3 linked regions of the Callithrix jacchus genome follow. The protein of the gene in region 2 interacts with the protein of the main gene of each other region in a biochemical or structural test. Links are inferred from orthologs where the notes say so. Each region holds a gene or a part of one and is shown on either strand. Other genes may lie near its edges.

Region 1 (4,192 bases), on a different chromosome or scaffold from region 2:
GCCACCGCACCCAGCCTGTTTTTCTAAAAAAAAAAAAAAAAAAAAAAAGAATTCTGCCAGGCACAGTGGCTCACGCCTGTAATCCCAGCACTTTGGGAGGCAAAGGTGGGCAGATCACAAGGTCAAAAGATCAAGACCATCCTGGCCAACATGGTGAAACCCTGTCTCTACTAAAAATACAAATATTAGCTGGGTGTGGTGGTGCGGGCCTGTAGTCCCAGCTACTCAGGAGACTGAGGCAGGAGAATCGCTTGAACCCAGGAGGCGGAGGTTTCCATAAGCAGAGATTGCACCACTGCTCTCCAGCCTGGTGACAGAGCGAGACTCGGTCTCAAAAAAAAGAATTCCAGTAATGAGCTGATCATGGGTCTAACTCCTTGAATACCGGGAACAAACACCATGTCATATCACATAATGAGACAGGGAGACATTCTGATCCCCATCTCAGAGACAAAAAATGCCAAGGCTGGAAGGATCAAACTGCCCACCTTGTCACATGTTAGCCACGGGGCAGCCTGCCTTACTGATTCTTCATGAGCATTTATAGTGACTAGCATTTACTGAGCACCTATTATGTGCCATTTCTGTGCACCCAGCAACCCCTTTAAGTCCTTGTTTCTTTTTTTTTTCTTTTTGAGATGGAGTCTTGCTCTGTTACCCAGGCTGGAGTGCAATGGCACCATCTCAGCTCACTGCAACCTCAGTCTCCCAAGTTCAAGTGATTCTCCTGCCTCAGCCTCCTGAGTAGCTAGGATTACAGGCACCCACCATGCCCAGCTAATTTTTGTGTTTTTTGGTAGAGATGGGAGTTTCACCATATTGTTCAGGCTGGTCTTGAACTCCTGACCTCGTGATCAGCCTGCCTCGACCTCCCAAAGTGCCGGGATTACAGACGTGAGCCACCGCGCCCAGCCTTAAGTCATTGTTTCTAATCCCAAGAAGCAAGGAAATGGCGTCAGGGAAGGAACAAGGTTTGCCCAAGGTCAGGCAGGGGCAGAGGTCAAGCTCAGAACCCTCACCTGCCCAGAGCACGTGACCAGGACTCAGGCTCTCTAGGCTTCCTTCCAAAGGCTCAGCAGTGATGACCCAGCCCTTGAACCAGCCTCTACCCCTACCCAGGCAGCCACCTCTCAGGGGAATTGTGGCCACCGCAGGTGCAGGGAGCACTTCCTCTCTACTCATGGCCTGAAGCATACCCGGCAGGGGCTGTCCCCAGGCCCAACGAGCAAAGGACCCAGCAGCGAGGACCACTAGAGCCCATCTCCGGGGGGCTGGGCAGGAAATAGGGTGGGGTTTGGGTAGGGAGCTGGTACCCCAGGACTGCTGCAGCTCAAACTAACGCATCGACCGGGAGAAGATGCCTGGGGGTCTCGGAGTCCTCCAAGCTCTGCCTGCCTCCATATTCCTCCTCTTCCTGCTGTCTGCTGCCTACCTGGGTATGTGGCCAATGGGCAGGAACTGGGGGGAGGAGGGGGAAGCCGTGGAGGCTGCAGAGAGGGCACAGGCAGCGGGAAGGGGGCTCAGGAGAGGGGAATAGGAGGCAGAGAGCACAGAGCCAGGGAAGACACCTGTAGAAATCGGGTCTGTTCCATGCTGGGCAAAGATGCGGCTGGAGAGAGCCCAGCGAAGGAAAATGGGGGTCCAGAGCCCCACGGAGGGAGGCAGGAGCAAGCGTCACCTCCCCCACCTCCTGTAAAAGAAGGAACTAAAGCCGCTCTTGACTGAGCACCAGGGCTGCAGGCAGGAAGGGCAGTGGGGCTAGCAGCGTTCAGTGTCTGACAAGGGGAGAAAAACCTTTCTCTGCCTTAAACCTCAGGCGCCACCCTGTGTTGGGAGCCCCTTCTCAGCACTGGGGGATCTGATGCCTCATGGACCCCCCTTGCCCACCCAAGGCCAGCGCGTGGCCATGCTACCCCAGGAGCTCAGAGGTTTCTCGGTTTCTCAGGGTAACTGGAGTTCCCACCTGAGTCCTAAGCCCATGCCAACGAGGGTGCTTGGCCCCTCTCCCTACCTCTTCTTCCTTCTCTTTTCCCCACCTCCCTCCTCCGACTGCTTCCAGAAGAAGAGGCCGGCCATGTGGGTGGCCTGGCTGAGATCTGGGGCTTCCCAGAGGAGCCCCGGATTGGACGCTGCAGTCAGCCTGAGCCACCCCGACTCAGACACCCACAACCTCCACCCTGCTGAGGGCGTTCACTCACCACCAGCCCAGCCCAAGGACTGAACTCACCCCTGACCCTGAAGTTGAAACATACAAGTTACAGAGAATGAGGGACGGGCACAGGGTCACAGGCCAGGGCAGGCCACAGATAGGCTCCTCAGCCCAGGCAGGAAGAGGCCAGGGAGCCAGGAGTTTGAACCCAGTGCCACTCCTGATTGCCTGGTGATGCTGGCAACTCGCCTGCCCTCCCTGGGCCTCAGTCATCCCTCCCGTAAAGTGGGGTTAAGGAAAGAACCTACTGCTAGGGTTCTGTGAGGATTACCAAGAAAAAGCACCAGGTGCAGAGTCTCACTGAGGCTGGGGTGGGAAAATGGACTGGGAAGGCTGTGGGAGGAGGGGATGCCTGCCTGCTTCTGGAAAGAGCTGTCTGGACGCAGCCTCCAGTTCCTAGAACAAACATCCAAAAGCCAGTGAGTTCTCAGGCCAGAGCACAAAGTGGGTATGCAGGAGGGGGGCAGGAGATGGCACTGCAGAGGTGACAAGGGCCTCCCAGGGGTCTCACTATCCCAGAGAGTCTCATTCTCCTCCCCCAGGATGTCCTCACCCACCCCAACCCCTGTGTCCTCTCTCCTTTCCCAGGGGCATCTTCACTCTCCTGCATCCGCCTCTCCCCAAGATGCATCAGCCCCTCTCAGGGGCTCTCCCTCCTCCTCCAGACCCAGGAGAGTCCTCGCCCTCCTCCCCTCCCCCCATGAGTGTCCTCACCCTCCTCCCCACCCCTCCCAGGAGTGCTGGAGCTGTAAGGGCAGGGCTGCGGGCCTGTGTCGCCATGCCCAGTCCCTGACCCACCTACCCTGCCTCTCCGCAGGCCCTGGGTGCCAGGCCCTGTGGGTGCACAAGGGCCCAACATCGTTGATGGCAAGCCTGGGGGAAGAGGCCCACCTACAGTGCCTTCACAATGGCAGTAACACCAACGTCACCTGGTGGCGTGTCCTCCACGGCAACTACACGTGGCCCCCGGTGTTCGTCGGCCTGGGCCAGGGTGTCAACGGTACGCTGACCATCCAGAACGTGAACAAGAGCCACGGAGGCATATACATGTGCCGTGTCCAGGAGGGCAACAAGCCATACCAGCAGTCCTGCGGCACCTACCTCCGCGTGCGCCGTGAGTGGCCTGGCCCTGGCCCCTACCCCCACTCTCCCGCTGGGGACACTCAGTTTATCTTTGAAGTGTGGAGGGGATATACCCAGTACCTTCTTTGTGGGTTTCAAACTGGCTCGGACGAGGGACTGACGATCTCCTCTGCAGAGTGGGGATTTCGGGGGGCCCGGGGCCTTGCAGAGGTTGGGCAGATGTGCCAGGGCTTTAAGCTTCCTACCTCCTTGCAGACCCGCCCCCCAGGCCCTTCCTGGACATGGGGGAGGGCACCAAGAACCGCATCATCACAGCCGAGGGGATTATCCTCCTGTTCTGCGCAGTGGTGCCTGGAACGCTGCTGCTGTTCAGGGTGAGTCTGCTGGGACCCCCGAGTTGGCGGGTAAGGGCCTGGGCTGAAGGACTCCCAATGCCCAGGTGGCCCTCTAGAGCCTAAAGTTCTCCATCCAAAACTTGGAAGAAGAAAGCACCCATTGCACAGGAGCTGTGGAAGTTAAATGAATGAATATAAAGAAGGGACTTGGGCCGGACATGGTGGCTCACACCTGTAATCCCAACACACTGGGAGGCCAAGGCGGAAGGATCACTTGTGGTCAGGGGTTCGAGACTAGCCTGAACAATATGGCGAAACCCCGTCTCTACTAAAAAAAATTCAAAAATAACCGGGTGTGGTGGCGGGTGCTTGTAATCCCAGCTACTCCAGAGGCTAAGGCAGGAGAATTGCTTGAACACAGGAGGCAGAGGTTGCGGTGAGCCGAGATTGTGCTATTACACTCCGGCCTGGAGGACAAGAACAATACTCTATCTCAAAAAAAAAAAAAAAAAAAAAGGGACTCGAACTGGCGCTGGGCCCAGGGGGTGTCTTCAATTTAGTTTCC
Region 2 (4,220 bases):
AAAGTGTTCCTTTTTCTCCACATCCTCTCCAGCATCTGTTGTCTCCAGATTTTTTAATGATCGCCATTCTAACTGGCGTGAGATGGTATCTCAATGTGGTTTTGATTTGCATCTCTCTGTGGGTGAAGGGGAGAAGAAAAGCAAAGCACACTGCCATGTGTGTACCTACGCAACTGTCTTGCATGCTCTGCTCATGTACCCCAAAACCTATAATCCAATAAAAAATTAAAAAAAAAAAAAAAAAGAATTCCTCATTTCCTTCCAATCCTGCATGCCCTCCCTCCCTTGGATGACTCTACTTTCCCTCTCCTCCTAGCAATACTTTCTGCTCCACTCTCTTTTCAGTCCTGAGAATACATTCCCTGGATCAAGGTCATTCCTTTCAGTCCCCTATATTTCAGAAAGACTCACTGTCTTTCTGTTTTTGTGGCTAAGGATTTGAGCAAATTCTCACCTAAGCCTAAAAGTGTAAACATAACTGTCCACTTTTACTGTCATCTGGTACCAAATAATTACATGGTTAATCAACCTTCAGAATTTACGTCAGCCAATCAGGACAGAGGACACAAATCACAGGAGGTAGGTATTTCATCTATCAACTCCTTGCCATCTCATCCATCTAATTACGAAAAATAATTAAGATGGCCCTTTGAGCCCACTGAATTTACAATTTCATTTCTTTGAAAAGTTCCACGTCAACAGTGTACATTTACCAAAACAGGACGATTCTATAAAGACGACTGAGTAATCAAGTAGGAAAAATGTTACTTTTATGTAAGCAGATAAGTGTACCATACGATTATCTATGGTATAATTTTGGTTTTCTATCCCATAATCTGTGGTCGTATATTGCCCATCAACTGCTCTGTGATCAAGCTGGACTTTGTCTCAAAGGGAGGAATCATAAAAAGATTTAAGTTCTAGTACCTTTATTTAAATTCTCATCTGGATTCCCTGAAAGAGGTTCTACATTTCTGTATAGTTCTTCATTATGGAATATGTCTAAAAAAAATTTGGAACCCTCCTGCTCATTTGAGAGGAGAGTGCCTAGTTTCTTTGCATGTCTTTCTTCCTCTCCTTCCCTCTTCCTTCTCATGCTGTGTCTCAAGTCCAGGCCTACCACCCTGGATGCTTGGGTTACTTAAGTGCTTCTCCCTTCCACCAGATCCCTGCCTCCAGTGACCCTTCCACTCCAACGCATCCTACCGGCCTCCTTTAAGCCTGCTGTCACGACATCACTAACAGCGTAACCTGTTCTTCAACTCCCTATGGTTAGGGCCCTCACCATCCTTTGCAACGTAGACCCACCCTATGTGTCCAATCATACCAGGACCTTTGGGTTCCACATGCCCAACTCTATAGCTTCTGTTGGACAGAAAACTCTCCTCATCATCCCATATATGGACCATACTTGTGTTAAGCTTCAAGTGACCACTTCTGTATTTCCTTCCTCCCAGCACATAACATGTTTCCTCCAATTCTCCAGCTCGTTTATCATTTTACTCACCTCTCAAAGCCCACCTCTAAAGTATCTTCTCTATGAAATCTCCTCCTGCTACTTTAAGTCTATTCTTACATTCTTTCAGTCACTTACAGCTTCCATTGTATCACCCCTGCCCCTCATGAGGGTGTAGCTATTTGAGACCAAGGGCAAGACTGAAGTGCCTTCTTGTCCCATCAGTGCTGATCACTCAGCAGCACTCAGCCCGTGCATGAAATGGTTGAACGCAGTCAATGCTGCCTATTGATCCCAGATCATCAGTTCATTTCATATTACCTCCTACTAAGCACCTCCTAGACATAGGACTTGTATTCTACTATGAAAGGCTGTCCCTCTGCCAATTCCAGACTCGCTCTTAAATGTTGTCTCAAAAGCTTCGATTCTCTGGCTCCGTGTTATCTGTGATTACTTGTCTGCTACACATGTCACATCATCCCCTGAACGTCTGGCTAAGTGCCAACAGTAGTCAGAATATAAAACACTCCCTGAAATTTAAAAGTTTCGGTCTCCAAAAGCCACGACGCCATTACAATGAGACAAAAAGAAGACCTTCAAAAGCAAAATTTGGGGAAGTTGTCTTTTCCATAGCTCCTTGACTCACGCTTGTGGGGCCGCTTCTGGTTTATTCTTTCTAAGAGGTTTGTTACAGATCATTGTTACATTAACATGAGGGCGTTGGAAAGACAGATCTAATCCCCCCAAGCACACTCATAATATACACCCACAAAATAAATGAGAGAGTAAAACAATGAATAACAAATGATTACAGCTATCCTTAAAATTAAATAGCAACCTGCGATAAAATGGGTGAGGATTCAGTTTAGAGAAACCCTTCCTTAGAAAGTTGGTTGCATTCAGACTCTGAAAGCTGACCTTCCGTAGAATCTAAGCCCTTGGCATTTCTGTTTTATTATCTTTCCAGAGCTTTACACTTTATTGTAAGGGCCAGCTAAAGCAAATCTCTCTTGCTCCTACACATTTTTAAAGAACTCAGTCCACTTCCTATAGTGAGTGCCACCCAATGCTTTCCCTAAAAGCTCAGTCCACTTCCCTATGGCAAGTGCCACCCACTGAAGACTAGCAAAGCATTCCAGGATTTCAATATTTCTGAGACGCCATAAGAGCATGGCAGGGGGAGAAGGAGGTGAAGAAGGATAAGTATTGGGTGGGGGAAATCTTACCTCAACTTCTGACTGGCGGGGATGGTTATTTTATTAAGCTTGTCCATTCTGTTTGGTAATTGTAAGAGACACAAATAACTGTCCAGTGGTCACGTCAGCAGTTCCTGGCCCTCCTAGGGAGCAGCATGTCAAGTCCCTGGTCTCAAGGGTTCCGGCCACTTGAGTCTGATTTCTGAGAGCGCAGGCTGCTGGCAAACACCCCTGCTCTAGGGAGAAGTAAAACTTGCCCGAGCACATAGTCAAGTTTCATGTTTCTACATAATCATGTGATCTGGATAGCCAGCCAGCTTGTTGATTACTCCACGTTGTGTAAACTTTAATAGTGAAACCTATTGGGCATGCAGATTTCTTTCCAGCTGCTTTCTTTTATAATCAGATTTGTAACCAGGTTGGGACAAGCTTCTGGCTGATCACGACTTCCTGTTTGTCCCAAATACATGTAGTCTGTTTCCAGCAGGTGCGTGCTGTGACTGGGAACTTCCTGGGCTCAAGGAAAAGCAGAGTAATCAATTCTATCTGAACATCTCCTGGAGATTTTCTGCTTATTTGCATAAAGTCATGGATAAGCTTTTTCTACTTATAGAATCATTATATAAAAATGGCGTTTTTGTGTTTTTTCCTCCCCCTACTCTTTGCCGGCAATATATTTAAAAATAAATATCAGGAGGGCAGTGACATGGTGGTACAGTTTACACAGAGAGTTAGAGTCTATCTTTTTCTGGAGCTCTATTTAAAATGGAATGGGCAATTATCTGTTCATCTGGGGGTAGGGATGGGTGACCCAGGAAAGGGTAGATGATCTCCATCATAAGATGTGCAGCCTCCTTACTAACTGTTAGAGTCAGGAGTTACCTTGCTGATAACTTTCAAACAAACCAGGATGTACCCAAAAGTCAGCTGAGAACAAATCTAGCAATTTCCCAACAATGCAATTCTGACATCAGGCCATTCTGAAGTCCTTCTAAAAGCAGAATGCCACTCCCCTCCTTGTGTTTGCCTCTTCCTGCCCTGTCCACAGCTTGCTTATCAGACCCAGTGACACATCAGACATGGGGCCATCTCAAGCCCAGACAGATGAGGTGAGGCTGGGAGGAAGGAACCATACCTGTAGGGGCTGAACCCTTCAGAGAACTCTACTTCCCTCCTGGAAGACTTTACATTTCCTTCTGCCTGATCTGAAAAATGCTGATTTATCTGTTGTTTAGAGAGCAGACTACAGTCTAGGGTCAGGGAGGAAGAAAATGGGAAGGACTTTTTGTACCTAGGCACACTTTCCTGTAGCCATCTAGAATGTCCTGCTCACCCTTGTGGAATAAAGTGCACATTTCCAACATTTATCAAGGGAACCAGTCTTCTCCTGGGTCCGAAGAATACACAGCAGGACAAAGCAAAGGGCTCCCAGTTACCCCTCCTGTTACAGATCCAAGATCTGGCTGAAGATGGGGGGAAAGAGGAGAAAGAGGTAGAGGAAGACAAGGAGGAGAAAGGAGACAGAGGAGGAGGAGACACAGGAGGAGGAGACACAGGAGGAGGAGAAG
Region 3 (4,389 bases), on a different chromosome or scaffold from region 2:
ATCCCTATGTGTAGTTCAGTGGCACTTGGGGTCAACTGCTTGTCTTACAGACTAGGAAACTAGATTACAAAGCACTGAAAGCAGAGGCTTTATCTGGTTGGTCATTTATCCTGCAAAGCCCCTTGCATACAGGTGATGCTCAATAAAAACTTGGTGAAAGAACATTTCAACATTTCATTTTCTGTGTTTCTTTCTTTCTTTTTTGAGACGGAGTTTCGCTCTTGTTACCCAGGCTGGAGTGTAATGGCACGATCTCGGCTCAAGGCAACCTCTGTCTCCTGGGTTCAGGCAATTCTCCTGCCTCAGCCTCCTGAGTAGCTGGGATTACAGGCATGCACCACCATGCCCAGCTAATTTTTTGTATTTTTAGTAGAGACAGGGTTTCACCATGTTGACCAGGATGGTCTCGATCTCTTGACCTCATGATCCACCCGCCTCGGCCTCCCAAAGTGCCGGGATTACAGGCTTGAGCCACCGTGCCCGGCTCATTTTCTGTGTTTCAATGGGCTTGTTTCCTCTGTACAATCAGATGCTTGGTTATTCTCATCTCAACGCTATTTTTTTGGCTTCCAGAAGACACATTAACACTAGGTGTGTTCTGTTCTATCCTTTAATTGGAAAGAGCTTTGATAACTGAAAAACAAGAATTATTTACCGAAGCCTCATCTTCTGCCACTCCCCCATACTCACCGGCCTCATACAGGAATTGAACTACTTAGCACTGCACAGCACACGACTTTCACGCCTCCGTTCCGCTGTACTTAGCCTCTGTACTTACGTGCCATTCCCTTTCCCTGAAATGCCCTTACTCTGGCTTCTCTGCCTGGCAAACTCCTACTCATCCCCCAAGACTCAGCTTAGACATCGCCGCATCACCTCTGTAAAGGCTCTTTTGCAATGGGCAGAGTAGCCATTCTTCTTCCATCTTTTTAGCTTTCTCAGCAAACTCCAAATAACAGTACTTATGGCATTATTTGTTTATTTTTCTCTGCTTCCCTAGACCGTAAATTCCTTAAGGACCAGGATTTCTGTTCTATATCCAGCACAGTGTTCAGCCTATATTAGGCACATAATTAAATAAATGAGTAAACAAACCCACCAATCATTCAACATTGCAGAGTTTGTACGGATTCTCAAATATTTCAAGACCTGGTCTTCTGTTTGGAGTGCTTCAGGCTGGAAACTCTCTTCCTCCCCCCAGCCCCCATCCATATCCAATTGCCTTGGTTTGGTAGAGGAGAAAAGAAAGTGATTAGACGGGGTAAGAATTTATTCCTTCAGGACTAAGCTGTTATTTACCCGCTCTGGTACCGAGAGGGTTACGGCGACCCAGGGGCGGAGCCGTGACGAGGCCACCTGCTGCGGGCGGTCTGGCGCATGCGCCCTGGGGCCTAGCTAGTCACTACCTGCCGGAGCCCGGCCCAGGAGGAGCGCTTGCGCTTTGGGCGTTTTCCGCCGGGGGAAGTCTCGCGGGGGCGGGGCGGGGCGGGGCCTCGTGGAGAAGTTCTCGCGGGACACCCACGGCGAGCGGAAGCGAGGCGGCTCTGCTGCTTCGGCGACCGGGCGGCGGCGGCGGCGGCGGCGGCGGCTGTGGCTGAGGCTGTGTCTGTGTCTGTTTCTGTGTCTGTGACCGTGACGGCGGCGGGAGCAAGCGCCGCCCTCGCGGAGCAGCCTCGGGGTCGGCGGCCGCTCTCAGCGTTGAGGTGGGTCAGGCCCGACGCGGAGCGGACTAGCTGCGCCACGGTGAGTGCGGGCGGCTGCGCTCGGCGCCGCTCCTGTGTCTCTTCCTCTCCGCTCTGCGACGGGAGTGGGCCCTGGGGGAACCGGGACCCCGGCCCTTGGGGTCGGGTCGGGGCGGCGAAGCTCGGGACGCGGAGTGGAATGCCCAAGGCTCTGGACTCTGCGTTTCCCCTTTTGGGGCGCTTCCTTCCTGGGGAACGTCCTCCTCCGGCTCTCGGCTGTCTGTGCAGTGTCCGGGAGCCCGGGGGTAGAAGTCGGGGCTCCCTCGTGAAGTCCCCTGCCTTCGTCGGAAGGGTTTGCACGAAAGGGGCCTGGGAAGCCCGGAAGGGCAAAACCCCGACTGAGTCAGTCCGCCCGATCCCGGCGGCGGGGGACTTGGTGTGGGCTGCAGCTGTGGTGATTGATGCGCCTCCGACCTGCATGACAACCACGTCACCATCTCTTGGCGTCTTTGGGCTTAATTTTGTGCGGGAATCCACGGTGGGGTAGAACGTTCATCTCCCCGGGGGAGATGTCTTTATTCTGAGACTTAAAAAAAAATTATTTGAAAAATTAAGCAGCAGCAGGTTGGACTGCACCGAGGAAACATTGCGGCGAGAGCGGGCGCTGGTAATTTTCATTTGCAGCGCGCCCTCTCTGTGATTGTAAACCACATATGAGTTATGGCTTGTTTGGAAAGTTTTTCAAGCCTGGCTTCAAAGGCTATGAAAGTGCAGTTTGCAGAGGACTGAAGTGCATTTGAGGTGTGTCTCTTCTTGATGCTGTTGACTTTCAGAAATGTCAGACACATGAGAGAAATCAGCATTAGTCCCTGGCTTTCTTAACCCCTCTTTCACTCAGTACTTCTCCAGTTATTTCCTTACCTCTCTATCTACTTCTGTCCATTCCACTAGGGACAAGAAGTGCTTGTGTAATGCAAGTCATTTGCCCCTTCCTTCCCCCACCCCCCTCTTTTTTTTTTCTAATCTACTTCCCCTTCCTCCTTGGTAGTCCCCACTCTGGCGTAATTTTTCGAGGTTTCTTCCCTTTCGCACTGTTAGTTTTCTCTGATTTCAAGATTCCGTCCTTTTTCTCGGGAAGAGATCCTCTTTCCTGCTTTGGTGCCTTTACTTTTGCGCTTTCCCCTGCGTTCGCTAGTCAGCCAGAAGGGTTGCTAGAGAGCCATTGGAGGCTGAGGTTCCCCCGCTGAGAAGGGGGTGGGGGGCTCAAAAGATTGAATTCAGCCGGGTGCGGTGGCTCCCGCCTGTAATCCCAGCACTTTGTCAAGAGATCCAGACCATCCTGGCCAACATGGTGAAATCCCGCCTGTACTAAAAATAAAAAAATTACCTGGGTGTGGTGGCGCGCGCCTGTAGTCCCAGCTACTCGAGGCTGAGGCAGAAAAATCGCTTCAACCCGGGAGACGGAGATTGCAGTGAGCTCAGATCGCACCACTGCACTTCAGCCTGGCGACAGAGCGAGACTCCGTCTCAAAAAAAAGATTGAATTAATCCCTAAGAATTCAGTCCTGCCACTAGGTTACAAGTGTGGTTTGTTTGTTGTTTTGTGTTTTAGTTTTTTAAGATTATGCTTTTGTACCTATTTATGCTTTCTTCCAGTATGTCTTTATAATAGTAAGGAATATTGGGTCAGCTCAGGGCTTATGTGACTTTTTGACTTTTAGTGGGGGGTGTTAATGTTAAAAAGTGAAGGTCAACTATAAGTCTATATTAGGTTAAAATAGTCTGAAAAATGTAAGAGGCTAGAACTGATTTAGACCATCGAATTAGTTGAAGCCTGCGCGTTGTAGTAGTACTAATTTATTCTTTGTTAGGCTTTTAGTTAAAAATCAGGGATCTTTTTTCTGCATCTATTATAACTGGCCTTCGTTGTTGTTTTTGACAAAGAAATCTCTATTTGCTCCTTCCCAAGTTCAAAATGTTCCCAATCTCAAGATTTAAAAGAGTTAATTCTTATGATCAGCTATCTCCTAGTATGTATGTATGTATGTATGTATTTATTTATTTATCTATCTGAGACGAGTCTCACTCTTGCACAGGCTGGAGTGAGTGGTGCTGAGGATCTCGGTTCACTGCAGCCTCCACCTCCTGGGTTCAAGCACTCTTGTGCCTCACCTTCCCAAGTAGCTAGGATTACAGGCTCTCACCACCACACCTGGCTAATTTTTGTATTTGGTGGAGACGGGGTTTCACCATGTTGGCCGCGCTGGTCTCGAACTCCTAACCTCAAGTGATCTGCCTGCCTCAGCCTCCCTAAGTACTGAAATTACAGGTGTGAGCTCCTGTGCGGAGCCTAAACTCAGACATTTAAATGTTTGAGGCACTTAACTTGTCAGCAAGTTATTCCGATTTGAGAGGTTTGCTGGGTTTTAAGTACTACCAGTTGCTGGTACTTAGAGATTCTTTTCAGTAATTCCTGTTATGTTGCATATTGTGCATTGGAGTTCTAATTGTTGCATAGAACAGAAGAGCAAAGGATTTTGGAGAAAGGAAGTAATACAGAATAGAGTCACCATGCTCTCCTGAGAGAAATTAATTCTTAACTGCTTAATTCAGAGGAAGTCTCCGCCATTACCAAGTGGCTTTTGAGAGTGTATTTTTGTGTGTGTGTCAAAGTTGCCTTTTTCCCAGTTGTGCCAAGTGAATATAC

The links.
Region 1: the proteins of BLNK (region 2) and CD79A form a complex in vitro, tested with the Homo sapiens proteins (2 studies listed by BioGRID). The link is inferred for Callithrix jacchus from reciprocal best matches to the Homo sapiens genes BLNK and CD79A.
Region 3: the proteins of BLNK (region 2) and GRB2 form a complex in vitro, tested with the Homo sapiens proteins (3 studies listed by BioGRID and IntAct, with this or other methods). The link is inferred for Callithrix jacchus from reciprocal best matches to the Homo sapiens genes BLNK and GRB2.

What each region holds. Positions count from the first base shown.
Region 1 is NC_133523.1:36,905,052-36,909,243, forward strand, and holds the start of CD79A (B-cell antigen receptor complex-associated protein alpha chain), read left to right. Parts: upstream 1-1,332; 5' UTR 1,333-1,357; coding exon 1,358-1,436; intron 1,437-3,026; coding exon 3,027-3,323; intron 3,324-3,547; coding exon 3,548-3,666; intron 3,667-4,192. UniProt on the Homo sapiens protein: Required in cooperation with CD79B for initiation of the signal transduction cascade activated by binding of antigen to the B-cell antigen receptor complex (BCR) which leads to internalization of the complex, trafficking to late endosomes and antigen presentation.
Region 2 is NC_133513.1:89,104,711-89,108,930, forward strand, and holds the start of BLNK (B-cell linker protein), read right to left. Parts: upstream 2,850-4,220; 5' UTR 2,730-2,849; coding exon of another isoform or gene 2,683-2,729; intron 1-2,682. Other genes in the region: uncharacterized protein LOC118146130, read left to right, coding at 3,732-3,761, 4,103-4,220. UniProt on the Homo sapiens protein: Functions as a central linker protein, downstream of the B-cell receptor (BCR), bridging the SYK kinase to a multitude of signaling pathways and regulating biological outcomes of B-cell function and development.
Region 3 is NC_133506.1:131,303,734-131,308,122, reverse strand, and holds the start of GRB2 (growth factor receptor-bound protein 2), read left to right. Parts: upstream 1-1,529; 5' UTR 1,530-1,743; intron 1,744-4,389. UniProt on the Homo sapiens protein: Non-enzymatic adapter protein that plays a pivotal role in precisely regulated signaling cascades from cell surface receptors to cellular responses, including signaling transduction and gene expression.